4 linked regions of the Arabidopsis thaliana genome follow. The protein of the gene in region 1 interacts with the protein of each later gene in a pairwise test. Each region holds a gene or a part of one and is shown in the gene's direction. Other genes may lie near its edges. The genes, in order: AT2G01970, AT1G03660, UMAMIT27 and AT1G23890.

What was found.
Region 2: the proteins of AT2G01970 (region 1) and AT1G03660 interact in a protein complementation assay, tested with the Arabidopsis thaliana proteins (one large-scale study listed by BioGRID).
Region 3: the proteins of AT2G01970 (region 1) and UMAMIT27 interact in a protein complementation assay, tested with the Arabidopsis thaliana proteins (one large-scale study listed by BioGRID).
Region 4: the proteins of AT2G01970 (region 1) and AT1G23890 interact in a protein complementation assay, tested with the Arabidopsis thaliana proteins (one large-scale study listed by BioGRID).

Annotation. Positions count from the first base shown.
Region 1 is NC_003071.7:451,334-456,735, reverse strand, and holds AT2G01970 (Endomembrane protein 70 protein family), read left to right. Parts: upstream 1-1,776; 5' UTR 1,777-1,916; coding exon 1,917-2,068; intron 2,069-2,293; coding exon 2,294-2,334; intron 2,335-2,434; coding exon 2,435-3,020; intron 3,021-3,107; coding exon 3,108-3,245; intron 3,246-3,327; coding exon 3,328-3,484; intron 3,485-3,561; coding exon 3,562-4,046; intron 4,047-4,319; coding exon 4,320-4,539; 3' UTR 4,540-4,878; downstream 4,879-5,402. Other genes in the region: TET14 (tetraspanin14), read right to left, coding at 4,934-5,218.
Region 2 is NC_003070.9:910,751-915,727, reverse strand, and holds AT1G03660 (Ankyrin-repeat containing protein), read left to right. Parts: upstream 1-1,919; 5' UTR 1,920-2,074; intron 2,075-2,132; exon of another isoform or gene 2,133-2,196; 5' UTR 2,197-2,377; intron 2,378-2,491; 5' UTR 2,492-2,562; intron 2,563-3,462; exon of another isoform or gene 3,463-3,645; intron 3,646-3,806; 5' UTR 3,807-3,968; coding exon 3,969-4,292; 3' UTR 4,293-4,418; downstream 4,419-4,977. Other genes in the region: AT1G03670 (ankyrin repeat family protein), read left to right, coding at 1-190, 272-819, 889-1,506; AT1G03650 (Acyl-CoA N-acyltransferases (NAT) superfamily protein), read left to right, coding at 4,625-4,868.
Region 3 is NC_003070.9:3,851,573-3,856,168, forward strand, and holds UMAMIT27 (nodulin MtN21 /EamA-like transporter family protein), read left to right. Parts: upstream 1-1,611; 5' UTR 1,612-1,744; coding exon 1,745-1,947; intron 1,948-2,185; coding exon 2,186-2,248; exon of another isoform or gene 2,249-2,422; coding exon 2,423-2,539; intron 2,540-2,769; coding exon 2,770-3,169; intron 3,170-3,297; coding exon 3,298-3,449; coding exon of another isoform or gene 3,450-3,474; exon of another isoform or gene 3,475-3,563; coding exon 3,564-3,687; 3' UTR 3,688-3,935; downstream 3,936-4,596.
Region 4 is NC_003070.9:8,438,387-8,442,846, reverse strand, and holds AT1G23890 (NHL domain-containing protein), read left to right. Parts: upstream 1-1,980; 5' UTR 1,981-2,043; coding exon 2,044-2,098; intron 2,099-2,182; coding exon 2,183-2,353; intron 2,354-2,669; coding exon 2,670-2,834; intron 2,835-2,965; coding exon 2,966-3,166; intron 3,167-3,251; coding exon 3,252-3,349; intron 3,350-3,430; coding exon of another isoform or gene 3,431-3,434; coding exon 3,435-3,947; downstream 3,948-4,460. Other genes in the region: GAMMA-ADAPTIN 1 (gamma-adaptin 1), read right to left, coding at 188-361, 460-601, 777-1,079, 1,437-1,468; AT1G23880 (NHL domain-containing protein), read right to left, coding at 4,211-4,460.

The DNA of each region.
Region 1 (5,402 bases):
TTGTTTTGGATTTTATAGATTGATGTCATATAGATGTGAATGTGACTATGGTATCTTCACAATGAAATTAGTGCTTAATTTGTGTACAAGAATTTATTGAAATTGAGTTTATTTGTAATAAGTATTCCAAAACCTGGTTTGGCCTTAAAAGGAAAAGAAATATTCGTAGTTGGTTTTTTGACATTTTGGGACATATTTTTCTTATGATTTAATTGATAAGACCTCTTACTGTTGTACTTTTTTGAATAAACAATTGCAAATGTAAATTGGCTATTTTAGAATTAGACGACTAGCCTACCAAAAATACATTTATAATGTGGATTTTGATATGTGTGTGAGTGTGTTTACTTCGTGGAGTTTGATGTGTTTAAGGTTTCGAAAATATTTGAGAATTTGGATTAGCCTGACTCTATTCGGCTGATCCAAAACATTAATCTGATACCTTTCAATTCTTCACGTTAAATTTATAATATTTTTTAAACTTTCAATTATGCTTAGCTGATGCACAACAACATTTTCAATTTCGCATATCAGAATAACACCAATTATCATTTTCATGCTACCCAGAAGCACCTACAAGGTATCAAGTGTGCATGTTAAAAGACTGTTTGGGTTAGTATTGATTAATCGACCAACCGTCGATCCTAATGAAATGCTCAAAGATAGAATCCAACATAAAGAATCTCTATTGGTATTCAAGATTTGCTTATAGAGTAGTGATTGTTAGTTAGTTAGTTTGTTATTCTTTGATTTTCCAATCAGCTTACGAAGATTTTTCAAGAGTAGAGATGCTAACAACATGCATAATAATTTGTCTAATGGTAAATTCTACAATAGGAAAAGAGTTTACATTGATTACTCTATCATTAGTAGTTCAGGGGATAGTAGATGTTTGTTTTGTTCTAAGGCTTATGTTTATGCTCTGGAAAACTGGTTCCAGGCGAGAAGATTCAGAGAGAACTCGTTGATGGATTACATATCATGGTCGCTGATGAGTGTATGATTCGCCACCACCATCAAAGAAGGTGCAAAATCAATAAGTATCAGAGCTGTTACAAAAATAAACTTTATAAATAAATAAAATTATTGTCTGTGTAATTAACATCTTAATTTTATAGTGTTCTTATTTATCTGGTTTGGTTGCAAAAAATTGAGTTTAGTTAAGATAATCAGGTATATAAATTACTACATCATTCATTTTATGTACAAAAAATTTGGTTTATATTCCAATTGATAATACTTTTTACTTGCTTTGCTTTAATCAATTTCATAAACGAGATACTATTGTGAAAAAAAAAAACGAGGCACTATTGATCTTTTTTCTTTTGACCACCTTTTTATTTGTATCTTCATCATCATGATTTTGTTAAAGAGTAAAAAGAACATTACTGATTGTTATAGTCACATGGAATGCAATAAAACTCCTATAAATAGTAGAAAGCACAAGAACGAGAGAATCACTCTACCAATAGAAAATTGCTACTTATTAAAAAAAAAACGACAATTGTAACAAAAAATATCGATTATAGAAAGTTTTATTTGCTTCAGTTTATATCACTTGCCTCTGCCATTCACAAGTTTCTTACGAAACGTATTAAATAATTTAAAATTTTGTGAATTAATACGAATTTTGTTTAGAAGATTTAAGAAAACAACCAAAAATAAAATATATAAAAATAATCATTTCAATTTCTAAAAAAAATATTAAAATGTCGCAGATTTTATTTTCTTACATAATGCTTTTTATTCGCAATATTTTTTCTTAAGCATTTAGTAGAAGAAAATTCGTTAAAAAGAGAGATAAAATAAATAAAAGTAATATAATCGTCCTTTTGCCATAAGCGTTGCTCTCAAAAATATAAAGCAAACTCAGATCTCACGATTTTCTTCTTCCTCTCACATTAACACACATCATCATGAGATTACCAACGACGCTGCTCCTCTTTATCGGAGCTCTCATCTTCTCCGGCGCCGGTACTGTCAGATCCGATGCCTCCGACCACCGTTACAAGGACGGTGACTCCGTTCCTCTCTACGCCAACAAGGTCGGCCCCTTTCACAATCCCAGGTAAATCCAATTCTCTAATCTCAGTTCCTTTGTCGGTAGCTTAGATCTGTGATTCTCTTTGATGAGTGATAAATTGATCGTTGCAAATTTCTGTAGAAGCTTGCGTTGGTATTGAATTTTTGTATCTGACCTTGAAAAAATTCGATTCGTGTTCTTAAAATGTGATAGATCTTCGATTGCATTGTTATATGACTGATTTTTACTTGTGTTTGATGATTGTTGCAGTGAGACGTATCGCTATTTCGATCTCCCCTTTTGTATTCCAGGTACGAGCACGCTCAATGTTGTCTCTGTTATGTGTGGTTTTTCACTTTTTTCGGATTTGTGTATTTTGGTGTCAATATGCATTTGTTTTGGTTTGTGTAGAGGGTGTGAAAGATAAGAAGGAAGCTCTTGGTGAGGTTTTGAATGGGGATAGGCTTGTTAGTGCTCCATACAAGCTTAACTTTAGAGATGAGAAAGACTCAGAGGTGTACTGTAAAAAGAAGCTTAGTAGAGAAGAAGTTGAACACTTTCGAAGAGCTGTTGAAAAAGATTATTACTTTCAGATGTATTATGATGATTTGCCTATTTGGGGATTCATTGGGAAGGTGGACAAAGAGAGCAAATCTGATCCTAGCGAGTTTAAATATTTTCTCTACAAACACATCCAGTTTGAGATTTTGTACAATAAGGATCGGGTGATTGAAATCAATGCTAGAATGGATCCTCATTCGCTTGTGGATCTTACTGAGGATAAGGAAGTCGATGCTGAGTTTATGTACACTGTGAAGTGGAAGGAAACTGAGACTTCTTTTGAGAAAAGAATGGATAAGTATGCTATGTCTTCTTCTCTTCCACATCACTTGGAAATCCACTGGTTCTCCATTATTAACTCCTGCGTCACTGTCCTTCTTTTGACTGGTTTCCTTGCAACCATCCTGATGCGGGTCCTCAAGAATGATTTCATGAAGTAAGTTTTGAATGCTAACTCTTTGTGCTTGACTCACCGATGCACACTTTTGTTTCCAACCATTAACTTTTCCCCTAACTTTCAAAGGTATGCTCAAGATGAGGAAGCTGCTGATGATCAAGAGGAAACCGGATGGAAATACATTCATGGAGATGTCTTCCGGTTCCCAAAGAACAAATCTCTCTTTGCTGCATCTCTTGGTAGCGGTACCCAGTTGTTCACTCTGTAAGTCTCTTTTCAGCCTCCTTCGTTTATCTTTAGTTATTCTTTGCCATTACTAACTGTAATATACCTCATATGTCATCAGGACCATCTTCATTTTCATGCTTTCACTTGTTGGAGTGTTCTATCCATACAACCGTGGAGCACTCTTCACTGCTTTGGTCGTTATCTATGCTCTCACATCTGGAATTGCCGGATACACTGCCTCCTCTTTCTACTGTCAACTCGAAGGAAAGAATTGGGTATGTAAACCCTTTCCCTTTACTCTTTTCAACTTAAAGTGATAAGCTTTTCATTTCTCACCGTTCTTCCTCTTCAGGTGAGAAATTTGCTGCTAACTGGAGGTCTCTTCTGTGGCCCACTATTTCTCACCTTCTGCTTCCTAAACACCGTTGCAATCGCATACAGTGCAACTGCCGCTCTTCCCTTTGGAACCATCATAGTGATCGTCCTCATATGGACACTAGTCACTTCGCCTTTACTTGTGTTGGGTGGTATTGCCGGTAAAAACAGCAAAGCTGAGTTCCAAGCTCCAGTCCGCACCACTAAGTATCCTCGGGAGATCCCGCCACTCCCATGGTACAGGAGTGCTGTACCGCAGATGGCCATGGCTGGATTTCTTCCTTTCAGTGCCATCTACATCGAGCTATATTACATCTTTGCCAGTGTTTGGGGCCATCGTATCTATACCATTTACAGCATCCTCTTCATCGTCTTCATCATCCTGTTGATCGTCACTGCTTTTATAACAGTTGCCCTTACTTACTTCCAACTCGCTGCTGAAGATCATGAATGGTGGTGGAGGTAAATTTTTCCACCCAAGCTGGTTTTTTAATTCGGTTTTTGGTATATGGAATATAGAAAACCAAATGATAATACCAAATACAAATAGCTTAGAATTGCTATGGTTTGTGTTTCGTTTTAGTATCAGTTTCAAACTGATTACTTACGTAGGGTTTCAGTTTGGCTTGATTAGGCACATCTACTAAATCCTTCCGTAGATTTTAAATTCGAATTTGAATTGGATTGGTGATAATAAAATTACATTGTTATAGTTATTAATATTCTTTGTTGCAGATCATTCCTATGTGGTGGATCGACTGGTCTGTTTATATATGCGTACTGCTTATACTACTACTACGCAAGATCAGACATGTCTGGTTTCATGCAAACATCCTTCTTCTTCGGGTACATGGCTTGCATTTGTTACGGTTTCTTCCTCATGCTTGGAACCGTTGGCTTCCGCGCTGCTCTCCTCTTCGTCCGCCACATTTACCGGTCGATTAAATGCGAGTAAAACTGTTGCTGCCAATCACCCTCCCCCTTACGATTTTTGGTAGAACAAAGAAGATGATAATCTGTTCTTAGGTAGATAAAGAAGAAGACTTCTTCGAAGCCAGAAACTGAATACCAAATCGCTCTGTGGTCACATTTTTTTTCCTTTTTGTTAAAATGTTTTGTGGCAGTTTGTTTTCTGTGATATGATTTATAGACGAAACTATGTTTGTTTAGGTGAAGTCTTTCTCTTCTCTACTACTTTAGAGAGTTATCTTCTTTTTTTGGTAATTAATTAAGATAACTTTGTAACCTTTTTTTTATTGATCTATATATATTCTAAAGACGAAAAAATAACAACTCTCTTGAACCAAATCGCTAATCTATTCGATCAAAATCATCTATGAATTTGTGATCTATCTAAACAAAGAGGTGAGGGAAGATAAGAAAACACCGAACTGCCACCATTTGCGCAGCCTTGGAGACTTAATGATCCTAACCTGACAAGTCATACAATCATAGTACAACACACTTAACTCGTGTCTCCACATATCGTAATAATCCTTTATGTCTGCATTGCCACCGTAACGATCATAGATCATTGCCGTTTCCAAAGGTGGTCCTTCACGATTTCTTGTAACCCACAATGTTGCATTGACCGTCTCTAGTTTGCAATTCCCTGGCCGATTGCAGCATCCAGTCTAACACAACAAACAACAAGAACAAAAGATTATGACTTTTTTAAAAATATATCAAGAAAAGATTTTCTCTTTCGTCATATCTTATTAGGATTTAGTGGTATTAAATCTTGCATATCACGGCTTCAAATATTTAAAACAAATTAATATATGTACTTTAAATAAACTAATTTTTCAAAATCTTAAT
Region 2 (4,977 bases), on another chromosome or scaffold:
GTAAGTGTGAAGCATGATGTATCATTTGATAAGAACAATGATGAAGCATCTCCATTATACATGGCTGTAGAAGCTGGATATCACGAGCTCGTGCTTAAAATGCTTGAATCTTCATCTTCCCCATCTATACTAGCTTCGATGTTCAGTGGAAAATCTGTTATACATGCAGCAATGAAGGCCAATAGAAGAGGTTTGTTTCTATGTTTGTTCAACCTTGTACGCCAAGTGTTCTTTATATGTTTTAATTATTTCTTGGTCATTGCTTTGACAGATATCCTAGGTATTGTTCTTAGACAAGATCCAGGACTTATTGAATTACGCAACGAAGAAGGAAGGACATGTCTTTCCTATGGAGCATCAATGGGATGTTATGAGGGAATTCGCTATATACTAGCAGAGTTTGACAAAGCAGCTTCAAGCCTTTGTTATGTCGCTGATGATGATGGCTTCACTCCTATTCATATGGCGGCAAAGGAAGGACATGTCAGAATCATTAAGGAGTTTCTTAAACACTGTCCTGACTCAAGAGAGCTACTTAACAATCAATGTCAGAATATCTTTCACGTTGCTGCCATAGCTGGTAAGTCGAAAGTTGTCAAGTATCTTTTAAAACTTGATGAAGGGAAAAGAATGATGAATGAACAAGATATCAATGGGAATACACCGTTACACCTAGCCACTAAACACAGATACCCGATAGTTGTGAATATGCTTACATGGAACGATGGGATTAACCTCAGAGCACTCAACAATGAAGGCTTTACAGCTTTAGATATTGCTGAGACGATGAAGGACAATAACGCTTACGTACTTTACAAGGTATGTCAAATTTGAAGATTCATGTAGTTAATGATAAAGTCTCATGTAACTTTTTTTATTGGTTTACAGAGATTGATTTGGATGGCTTTGGTATCTGCTGGAGCACCACATGGCCCAAACCTGATTCCCTTGACTGTGTCACAGAGTAGCAAACAAAGTCCAGAAAGATACAAGGATAGTGTCAATACTCTTATGGTGACTGCAACACTCGTAGCAACCGTGACCTTCGCTGCAGGTTTGACATTACCCGGTGGTTACATGAGTTCTGCTCCACATTTAGGCATGGCTGCATTGGTCAATAAGTTGAATTTTAAGGTATTTCTGTTGTTGAACAACATTGCAATGTGCACTTCTGTGGTAACTGTAATGGCTCTAATATGGGCACAACTGGGTGATGCACTTCTGACAAAGAAAGCTTTTCGACTAGCTTTACCACTTCTGTTAACAGCTGTTGTATCAATGATGATGGCATCTGTGGCTGGACTTACTCTTGTGGTGAGCGATCTCCCATGGCTTTCCCATCTTGTATTAGCCATAGATTCAGCCTTCTTGGTATTCCTGATGCTACTTATCATTCCTTACGCTTTCTCGTCTACAAGACATGGCTTTCTCAGACATATCTTCTACTTTCCTTATTTCTTGATGCTTTTGGTTGTTAGCGAAGGCAGCAACAACATGGATGGTTAAAGAATGCTCTGTTCTGTTCTATTCTGCTCTGTTTTGTATCATGGATGATGGATGGTTAGTGTTCTGTTTGTTTTTAACAGTTTTTGTATCTCACGAGTTTGTAATTGTGGTTTTACTAAGTAACCACAAAAATTGGTACAGAGACAAATATGACCGTTGGCTGTTGCAAAGAGCTCACATGCATGATCCCGACTTTGCTCCTCTCGCTTTCAAGGCCAAATTCTCTGTTTCAAAAATAAGAAACCTCAAATAATTTGTCTTGATAAATTGTTGTTACGCAGTAAGATACAAATATGACCGTTGTGAGGAAATTTCCTTTTCTTTTTTTGCAGCCTAATTAAAATTTCCTTTTTCTTAACCTAGTCGAAAACAAAAAGGAAACAATAGAAATTTCCTTTTTTCTATTGAACAACGTTTGCTTATAAATACTCTTCTTCCTTGTAAAATAACTAATTCTTCATTCATCTTCTTCTTCTTCTTCTTCTGCAAAACGAAAACAAAAGAAACCATCTTTCATTTCTATTTTTCTTCGGAGGATCTATGGATCGATTGGATTTTGACTCAGTCGGTACGTGTTATCTGAAACTATTTTGGTGTGAATCTCTTTTGCTTTTAATTGTGAGTTTCGTTGTTCTGTTTAATCTTTAATAGGGTTTGTTTTGGATTATGTTTATCTTTGATGGTTTGAAGTTTAAGAAGATTTAGAACAATAAACGTCGTCGGCGTTTGATTCCAGTCATCGCCGGAGAGAACAAGGCCCAATCGTCGTTTACAATCACCGTTCTTCCTTGTCCAATTCCATTAGGGCTAGGGATGATGCAGTAACACCAATCTCATAAAGTCATAGTCCTCTCTTTCTTGACCTGTAACGGTAAGTAATTTCCAAAATCCTCTATGCTTTTCTCTTTTTTTTTTTTTGTCTACTGTCTCTAAATTTAGCCCTAAACCAAATATTCACTCCTTTCTTCGTTTTATTCAATTTCAGCCTATTGAAAGTTATCGCCTACTAGATTTGTGGACAAACACTGTTCATCAACAATTCAACACTTATTCCATGTAAGTTATTATTATTATTATTATTATTATTTTTTTTTTTTTAACACGATTCCATGTAAGTTATTTCTTCTATTATTCGTTCATTTTTTAAAAATAATAAATTACAAAATGTTTTTGTTTTCAACAAAAAAATAAAAGTATTTTCAACAGTAGTTTTTAATTTTATTTAACAAACTGTTTTCGTTTACACATATTTAAATTTTTAACAATTGTTTCTCTTCTATTAAAAAATATTTTTAAACTTATATTTTTATATAACTATTAAAACTATAAAGGTTTTTTGGATAAGTGTTAAATTTTTGAATTTTGTGTAAACTAATTGGACATAACATCCAAACCCCTAAGAGGTGTCCTAGGTTCAATATGGTTTACACTTAATTTAAATTTTTAATACTTATCATCATTTTATTATAAAAAGTTTTTAAAATTATATTTTTATATAACTATTAAAATTATAAGGGTTTTTTGGATAAATATTAAATTTTTAAATGTTATGTAAACTAATTAGACACAACATCTAAAACCCTAAGAGGTGTCCTAAATTCAATATGGTTTACACATAATTAAAAATTTTAACATTTGTTTTTAATTTATTAAAAAATGTTTTTAAAATTATATTTTTATATTACTATTGAAACTATAAGTTTTTTTTTGGATAAATGTTAAATTTTTAAATATTGTGTTAAACTAATTAGACACAACATCCAAACCCCTTAGAAGTGTCCTAGGTTCAATATAGTTTACACATAATTTAGATTTTTAACACTTATTTTTATTTTATTTTAAAATGTTTTTAAAATTATATTTTTAAAACTATAAGGTTGTTTTGGATAAAGACAAAAACCCAACCTTTGAATCATCGACTTTTTGCGTTGGAGTCAACGACCTTAATTCAATTATTTAATTGCTTGCTCGGCAAGCTAAACATCGTCGTTGATTGGTACGCACATCCAGACTTCTCCTTTCTTATTTTGATTAAGTCAATGACTTGTTAGGATTAAATATTTTGGTTGCTACAAGTTCAAAACTTCAACATTATTTTCTTCGTCTTCCTTCATCACCTAGATTTCAAAGCGTCTTAAGGTAATCTTTGAGTGTGTATTTTCAAGTTTAAGTTCTAACTATTCTTTTTGGGTTTCAATTGGAAAAAGAGAGTAAGTTTATGATAAAATTTCTGAATCTGCTTTTTAAAACATGTTTTTGTGAAGTCCTATCATCATGTCTCGTTTAATTCAATCTTTCAGAGATATAATAAGCTTGGATATGGCTTTGGGATCTGCTAGTTCACCAAATGGTACACAACCAATTCTCTTGAGTGCTTCACAGCGTCCCAGAATATCTAAACTACAAGAACGTATCTTATTGCTTATGGTGGTACAACAATTGTAGCAGTTGTGACATTTGTTATGGGTTTCACATTTACAAAGATCTACACCAGTTCTGCTCCAGATTTAGGCATCACAGGTTTGGTCAAGAAAGCAGTGTTCATAGTTTTTCTGGTTTGCAATAGCATTCCAGTGCTCTTGTCTGTCATAGCTACAATGAATCTTATTTGGCCACAACATCTGGGTGATATTCCTCTGATACAGCAAGCTATGAAACGAGCCATGGTACTTATCATGTTTGCTTTTTGGTCTATGGTTGTTGCATTTGCATTTGGAGTTTGTCTTGTATTGATGCTCCTTCCATGGCATTCCTTCCATGTCTTTAGCTCCAAAGCACATAAGTGATGTGTATGTAGGTTTGTGAACATTTTCCATTACACATTCAAGCTCTTGATTGTTTCTATCTGCAATCTTTCATAAGTTCGTTCACAGTGATTGATCAAATATGTTGTCTTTTAATTTGGTGTGGTCTCTGATACAGTTCCTCTGTTTCTGGGGACTAAATTGTCACAAAAGTTAAATTTGTGGGTCAAATCACAATTTCAAATAGTTTCTAAAAGTCGTCCCCGCCGTCGCTACGCACCTTCATCAAAATCAAATCACAATTTCCTTGGCTCACTCGCTCTCACCGGCTGCGAAACCAACGAGAGATTCCACAAAATCGAATCTTTTGTACAATGGACAAAGGAGTTGTGGTAGAGCTGATTAGAGGGTCGACCAGTTGGGCCAAAGTTGTGGAAGATATCGTGAAGCTGGAGAAGAAAACGTTCCCTAAACACGAATCTCTCGCTCAAACTTTCGATGCAGAGCTGCGTAAGAAAAACGCCGGTTTGCTATACGTGGATGCTGAAGGAGACACAGTAGGCTATGCCATGTATTCTTGGCCATCTTCGCTTTCCGCTTCAATCACCAAGCTCGCAGGTATAGACAAACGTCCGCCAACTGTTCGATGAAATTACTCAGTGATAAAATTCAGAAAATATAATTTCGTTAGAGAAGAAGTGGAATTATTCTGCCAAACTTCTACTGA
Region 3 (4,596 bases), on another chromosome or scaffold:
AGTTTAAATATATTTGATTGTAACCATTTATATAATAGAATATGTTTTTTACTAGTTGAATTAGTTTTATTTTAACAATTTATATATATAAAATAAACAAAATATTTTTTTTATTATTTCTTAATTTATGTGAAAAACTTTAGATATGATTTAATATGAAAAGATAGAATATATTATATACCAATCTTGTAAATTTATTCTAGAACTAAGTCAAAACCACTAACTTTTCTTTTGTGACAACTTTTTTATAAAAAAAATTTAACATCATTAGAACCACTAACTCAATTGTTATTATATTTGGTGAATTGATCTAATTAGTAGAAGGAATATATATGTCTGCACTACTGGAGAGAAAATGCCCCGTCCATTATGTTCTAAGCCTTTTCTAGATAACTTACTGAATCTAAAAATAGCATCTGCTTTTTGTCCCTACAAAGTTATATGGACAAACTAAAGGAATGAAAGAGTTCGATATACCCAAATGGGGATAATATAATTTTTTCATCAACTTTAAAAGTTCAAATATAGAGCTAATTATACGCATTTATAATTAACAAAAACGAGATAGTGCAAAACAAGATGGATCCAATGAAAAGACAAAAGAGAATAATTAATGGATCGAATATAATTCAAAATGGGCACAAAACAAATTTGCACGCAAAAAGTTATTGAATGAGAGTTGCAAAATCTCATATAGTACTTATTTACTACATATGATTAGTTTATCTCGTTGAAAAGTTCGTGTTTTTTCCTATTTTGCACCAAATTCAACAAATCCTTGAGTCAGTCCAATTACAATTGAAAGTAAAGAACCCAAACTTGAACCTATACGACCAGACGGAGACGGGCATGCAAGTGTTTAAGTGTCATTAGATTACAAATGTTTAAGTGTCATTAGATTACACGAAGTATAGATTTAGATATACCAACTAGCTCGGGTTTGCATGACTTATTTTTTCTCACTAAACTCAGTTACATCATCTCTCCGACTCTCTTTTATGAAAATCATTTTGCTAATTAATAAGGTGCGCGGCAGATAACACGCATGATAAAGCCAATGTATCGGTTTCTCATTTACTCATATAACGTATAAAATGGAAAAGCTAATTCATCGGCGCCTCATGAAACGTGTGATAAAGCCAATGTATCGGTTCTCATTTCTACTATATAATAAATAAATAAATATAACAGTAAATATACACATATTGACCGGAAAAAAAAAAGATTGTTACCGCATGAGCAGTTATATTTGTGACGACTTCTTAAACTTAAGTATCCTACTAATTTTGTTCTTTCATTAGTTAATAATATGCTCGGGTTTGTAGTAGTGCTTTGTTCTTCACAAACGCTTATCCTATATAAAAAGAAAGTTTTTTTAGACCAGAAAAGTAAATAAAATTAAGCTAGTTGTGTGTAGGAACATTCAACTTGTTCAAATATTTGAACTATTTTGTAATTTATAATTTTACATAATGTGGAACAAGATTCTAATATTATTTAAATTGAACTTGACAGCACTAAGTTTTTTATTTATTTATTTTTGATAGAAAGACCACTAAGTTAATATAATAGAGCAATAATTCAGGGGTTTTTTCTATTAAAATGACAGAACCCAAACACAGTACTCTTTCTTATAAGTTATAAATATGGGAAGGGTGGTTGCCAAACTCAAAGTACTTTGGGTCTTAACTCTTTCTAACACACAAACTCACATAGAATTCAAGAAAGAGAGAACGAGGGAGAGATGGGTGAGGATATGCGAGGAGTGAAAGTAGTCTCAAAATGGCCACCGATGATAGTTATGGTGACATCACAAGTAGCGATGGGTTCGGTGAATGCACTTGTGAAGAAAGCTCTTGATGTTGGTGTGAACCATATGATCATTGGTGCTTATCGAATGGCTATTTCCTCTTTCATTCTGGTTCCTATCGCCTATTTTTTGGAAAGGTTTATTGATATTTTGATGAAAATAGTTGAGTTATATATTTTTCTTATGCAAAATTTTCAAAAATTTGATTATATCAAAATAGTTTTTTCATATTTACATAATTAACAACATTTACTACAATTGAAGATTGTCAGAATGCTCTATTATAACATGTAAATAAACACCACTACATGTTACTAATATATGAAGTAGATTGATATTTTCTTTCCCCTAAAGTTTATGTCTTATTGTTAACAGGAAAATAATACCGAAAATAACGTTTAGGCTAATGGTCGATCATTTCATCAGTGGTTTGCTCGGGTTTGTCTTCTCACAATTTCTTATGTTCTTTTGTCGTCCATTTTCCATTTTCCTTTTCCATTATACATTGATTGTTTCCACAGAAGAAAGATTTTCTTTCAAGTGAGCATAAAATCTTCATAAGCTAGCTAAATTGTTTTTAATCTTAGCTTAGTTTTGGGTTTAAATTTGCAGGGCGAGTTTGATGCAATTTTTCTATTTGCTTGGTCTGTCCTACACGTCAGCAACTGTTGCGTGTGCTTTGGTAAGCTTGATGCCTGCAATCACCTTTGCTTTCGCTCTTATTTTGAGGTAATTATGGAACCATCTAACTTCTTTATCATTAAAATAAGTACTGTATTTACTATTACTATGCAATGGGTTCATGCAGGATTTATTCGTATTTGTTATGTATACAGTGCATATAATTTCTTTTGTTTTTTCATCAAGCATATTATACTTCTATATATAGAAATACTCAAAAGAACCTTACTCATAAATTATCTCAAATTTATCATCTAAAAGGTTATATTACTTTTCAGAACTGAGAAGATAAAAGATCTAAAGACCCAAGCAGGAATGATAAAAGTGATGGGAACTCTAATATGTATAAGTGGAGCTTTGTTCTTAACATTTTACAAAGGCCCTCATATATCAAACTCTCACTCTCACCTAGAGGCTCTTCCTCACAACAACAGCGATCACAACACCAAGAATTGGCTTCTTGGATGTCTCTACTTAGTCATAGGAATCGTGTTGCTATCTCTATGGATATTGTTTCAAGGGACTTTAAGCATCAAGTATCCTTGCAAATTCTCAAGCACTTGTCTCATGTCAATTTTCGCAGCTTTTCAATGTGCTCTATTGAGTCTTTACAAGAGTAGAGACCTTAAACATTGGATCATCGACGATGGATTTGTGATTGGTGTCATAATATATGCTGTAAGTTATAATACTATATTATCAGAAATCTTAACATTTTTATAAATTATAATGTAGTATATATGTAAATAATTAAATAAATTTTGGGGTTTACCTAATATTACCTTATTACTATACACGTATTATAGGGAGTGATAGGACAAGCAATGTCGACTGTAGCAGCGACATGGGGAATAAACAGATTAGGAGCTGTTTTCGCATCAGCAATTATGCCAGTTTCTCTCATATCGGCTACTCTATTCGATTTCCTTATCTTACACACTCCTTTATACCTCGGAAGGTGCTCTCTTCGATCATCTCTATGAAATTTTTTGTATAGCTTTATAGATGTTAATGTATTAGGTTCATGCTCGTATTACTAATTACAATTTATTTTGTAACTTTTGCTATACAGTGTGATTGGATCAGTAGGGACAATAATAGGTCTCTACGTGTTCTTGTGGGGTAAGAACAAAGAAACGGAAGCAGACATAACTACATTGTCTTCTCGGATGAACAACGAAGATCAACGAGTCTAGGTCGCCCATTTAATCAAATAATATTGTTGTCATAGAAAGATTCATATGGCTTCATTGTCGTAAATTAGTATTTACTACTGAATACATTTACCGTAAAGACCAGTCATAAATATTTAGATTTAAATTGTGCAAGCACACTCACGTTAAAGACCAGTCATAAATATTCAGATTCAAATTGTGCAAGCAGTTTGTATAATTCATACTTTTCGTTTGCAGATTTATAATTTCGTAAAGAGATAACAAAACAGATTTGTTATAATATTCAAAACTAACCAATATAAAGCATATATGATATATCAAAACATTTCACAACAGATCTGTTAAAAGAGCCTCGTAATATTGTTTTTAGTTTCAAAAGCTCTGTTTCTTGGATTATTTTCGTGCTGATTTTAAATGTGTTGCGTTTTGAGTTTGTAGCCTGTTGCTAAAACAGTAAGAATTTAAGGTCTAGAAAAAATAAAGACCAATTGTAATTAGTACTACTGTATATATATTATGCACTACTGGAGTGAAAATGCCCCGTCCATTTTTTCTAAGCCTTACCTTAATCTAGAATAGCATCTGCTTTTTGTCCCTACAAAGTTCGACGGACAAAATAAAGGAAGGCAAAATTTCGATACCCATATTGGGGAGAAACAACTATATACTAATACAGTATAATTTTTTTCATTAACTTCTATATTGAAATGTATAACAATTATTATGTGCATTATAAATAACAAAAACGAGGTACTGCATGGATCCAGTGAAAGGACAGAGCGTAAAAGGGATCGAATCCAAATTGGGAACAATAAAATGGAGAATTATTGAATGAGAGTTGCAAAAATCTCATATAATTATGATAACTTTTTCCCATCATATCGAATCAGAATTCAATATGACGTGGTCATCGTAGATGGGGAATTCAGT
Region 4 (4,460 bases), on another chromosome or scaffold:
CTCATTTCAGCAGAGTAATCTATTTATAAGTGAATACCACAGATATCAAACTTTATTGCAAGAGAAAAATAGTACACAAAAGCATCATACAGGTAATATAGTATCATATGTACGCATATTCAATTAAATTACGTCGATGCTCCTGTATGCATAAGTAGAGTGTTCTGTATAATATTTATAGACTTACCGTTCTGAAGTACTCTAGGGCTTCATCATTAATCGTGCATAATTCATAACAAAGTTGAACTCCTGTTATAAGAACCCCATGATGCTTTTCTTTAAGCAAGGAAGCAGCAGCATTTACGAAGTTTTCTGCTAGATCTGGAACTTTCCTTATTATTCTAGTAGAGCAAAGCGCCGCCTGCATATAATACAACATAAATGGTAAAGGCAATGAAGGAAAAAAAAAAAGCGACTAAACTCCAGGAGACCCTGTATATGAATTAGAAAACACTTCACCTTCTTTCGGATATTAGGGTCACGAAACTGGATTAATCTTTCTACTTCTGGCGCAAGATCACGGGCCATTTCTGCTGAACAAATATTCCCTAAAGCACAGAGAGCAAGTCCTACAACATACTGGTTCGAGTGATTAAGATCTCTGCACGTGACTTAAGGTTAAACAGGAACAAATCTATTTAAATATTTTTCTCCTTAATTCCCATAACAGCAATGCAATCAAAAATCAAGTGTTCTCTAGTATTTTTTAACATAGAAGAAGAATCCATTCAAAGGCCAAGGTATCAAGATTTAATACTAGAAATTAGTAAGGATACTGTTTTAACGAATTTGTGACAAGCATCAACACTTCTTGTCTCTCATCAAGAAGCAACATTAGCCCTAGATATCCAATCCTCTTCTCTGGAAATCCAGGAGATGCAATTAGCTTCAAGCACTCCATCTGCCCAAAGTGTGTGGGATAACCCAGCATGTGTATAAACATGAGTTTCGCAAGGTTCCGGTGCCGATCATGCGGGTCATCTTCATTAATCAATGCTCGAATATCGGCACACTCCTTTCTTACAACAGCTCGCTCCTCCGCAGCTGTTTTGCATGCTCTTATGGCACGGATCATGTCCCTGAATCATACTCATATGTCCACTATAACTTCAGAACCATATACAATAATCCGATCTGATTCCACTATTAAACCCCAACAGCAACATGACCAATCCAATATTCAATTAAATTAAGCAAAAGGATTACCAAAAATCCTTAGTGTGATCATGTTCTTAGACTAAAATCAAAATTCTAAATGGAATCAGAAACACCAATACCAAATTCATCTTCGAAACAGGCCAATCAACAAAATTCAATCCTCAAATGAAAACGAGCTCAATTACATCATGTTATATTCAAATTTCATTTGTAAGCTGATCAACGACTAAGAAACCTGAAACAGAAACGATAAAAAGGAAAGAAGAGAATCAATTTACCTTAAACGAGTACCAGAAGAAAAGGGATTCATGATTTGGGGTGTTCAAGAGTTGGACCTTGGTCCACCGGCAACTTTACGAGGAATCTGAAGAAAATGAAAACTTAGCCGGGAAGAAGAGTTTCGCCGCCGGGATTGTGAAAATCCGTTACCGGAGTTTCGAGTAGCTGATCAATACGAGAGAGAGAGATGAAAATGAAACTGAGGATTTGGATCTCGATGGACGATGCTCGTTTTTTTCTTCTCAGTCTTCGTAAACCATAATTGCCAAATTAAATGCGTTGTATAAACATGACTTCCATTTCCACCTAAACGGTAACGTTTCGACCAGCAATCCTCTCAAAACAAAAACATAGACTGGGCCGTTTCTTTATAGTTAAACACATAAATGGGCCCTACTTGGGCCGTTTTTATTAGTCAAATTTGAGAGGGTCGATGATACGCGCTCTTTCATTGGTTGTTACACAAATTCTCCCCTACACTTGAACACATCATAGTATCGCTCAGGCCCTAGTATCTTTTTAAAACCTTTAAAGATGCTAAGCAGCAAAAATAAGTAACACAACACAAGTTACACAGAACAGTCGCTTTCTCCTCTCGATTTTGACATGGCTTGGGGATTTTCGTCCGTGTCTCTCTTCTTGTTCGTCGTTTTCAATCTGGGTATATTTTCAAAAATCTGTTAATTCAGTTGAATTTCCCAACCCAAAATTCGAATTTTTAATTTTCCTCATGATTTTGTTACAGTGAGTGGTAAGATAGTTTTAGAAGAAGGGTACGAAGTCACAACGGTGGTCGATGGCCATAAGTCTGGTCTGAATCCATACACGATTCATGCTTTACCAGGATCTTCTAATCTGATCGTCCTTGATTCTTCCGGCAGTACATTTTACACTACTTCCTTTCCTTTGTCCGTTGGTAAACACCCACAAAACCACTCTTTTGTCTCATCTATTAATCGGATCATTATAATTGTGTTTGTATATGAGTTGTAAATTCATGGATGCATAAGTAAATGTTTAGAGCTTGTTGATTTTGATTGCAAGTCTTGACCTTCATTTTTTCTTTCTCCGTAATCTCAAATTGGACCACAATACTAATATGTGTGTGTATGTGTGTGAAACGATCAACCTGCAAATAAAAGTTCTAAACTTTACTATAAGTGAAAATTTTGTTTATCTTTCTTTCAATTGAAGTTTGAGCTCACTTTGAGTATGTGTGTGTGGTTGTGCAGATAGTGTGATAAACCGGTTTGCTGGGGATGGGAGTTCGGGTCATGTAGATGGTAAAGCTGGTAACAGCCGGTTCAGCAAACCCCGTGGTTTTGCTGTGGATGCTAAAGGGAATGTTTATGTTGCTGATAAGAGTAATAAAGCTATACGGAAGATCAGCTCTTCAGGTGTTTGTTTAATCCATTTCTTGTATTCCTTTTGTATAAATGCTAGTTGTTGTTGTTGTCTAATCTTAGTTTGTTGAAAGAGCCACTTAGTTTATTTTGATTATGCATGTTTTATTTACTGGACTTTGTAGGTTCTGTAACCACCATTGCTGGAGGGATCTCAAAGGCATTTGGACACAGAGATGGACCTGCACAGAATGCTACTTTCTCTAGCGATTTCGAGATAACTTTTGTTCCTCAAAGATGTTGTTTGCTTGTTTCTGATCATGGAAATGAAATGATTCGCCAGATAAATCTTAAGGAGGAGGATTGCCTCGAAAACTCTCATTCTAGTATGTCTTTTCTATAAGTAATCTTTTGTGGATTTGACTAACCATGCCTTTGGAAACTTCAACGATTCTTCTTTCACTGTTTCAGATTTGGGGACATACTCTCTTTGGTCAATAGGGATTGTCCTTTCCTGCATTCTCGGGGTAGCCATTGGATTTGCTGTTCGCCCTTACGTCATCCGTCATGTAAGTTTTTTTTAATCTATCCTCATATTACATACTAGTGTATAATCAACATATCAAATCTCTTAAACCAAATCGTTATAGACAGGAAGAAGTGAACCACCTCTCGTTCATCATGACATGGAAGCTTCTCCTAACCAAATTGGGGGAACAAGTTCTGACCTTCTTCTCCTACATTAGAAACCGAGTTGCTGAATCAACCGTTTATTCAGTATTAAGTAGACTAGTTATGATGATCGTGTCTCACCTTTCCCTCATGTATTCCGCCCTAAGTAGTTTAATTTGTTCGATGGTATCTAGCCTTTTCTTCATGTGTCAACCCAATAATGTAGCTATTTTAGACAAAACAGTCTCTGTGTCTGATCCCGAGAGTCCAGGTTGCGGCAACCCAAAGCCGCCCCTTTCACTGAAACCCTCTGATGATCTTATTGACCTAATAAGCTTTGATGATGAACAAGAACCTAACAATGACAAAGATTGCAGGAATGAAGAGACTCTTCCTCATGCAACCATAGATGACATTATAAAGGTTCATGTTGAAGAATTTTCAAAGATGGCTGAAGAAGATACTGTAATTCATGGTTCTTCATCTACTGAGTAGGTTTCAGTTAAAAGCACATGAATCAGAGAGTATGTGTCTTTTGTAAATGTAAAGTTTGGTTGAGTTGAAAAATCTTTGAATATTTATTGAAGTGCTCATCTTTTTTTCTTTATATCAAGGAAGAATGATTAATCTTTGGTACTTTTCTTACAAGAGAGATCTAAATACCCAAATCCCTATTGTGCCTTCTCAACAAATTTTAAAAAACTATACCTGAATTCCCAATCTCTACTACTACTATCATATTAAGCAACTTCTCATGTCTATGAATAGTATCCATATGGGTAACTCACAAATTGGTGAGCTCTGTGGTGGATATTCTGATGAGTATTCATCTGGTCTTGCTCCTGGCCTGGCCCAAACACAATCTCATTAGTCTTCTCGCTGCTCTGCTCATAAAGAGTGTATGGGATTGTTGAGTGATGCCTATGGTGATACTGCTGATGCTTCTCTTGTTGCTGCTCCTGGAGGAATTCGGCGTCCAAGCTTCTGTACAAGGCACGGCTTTGGCGC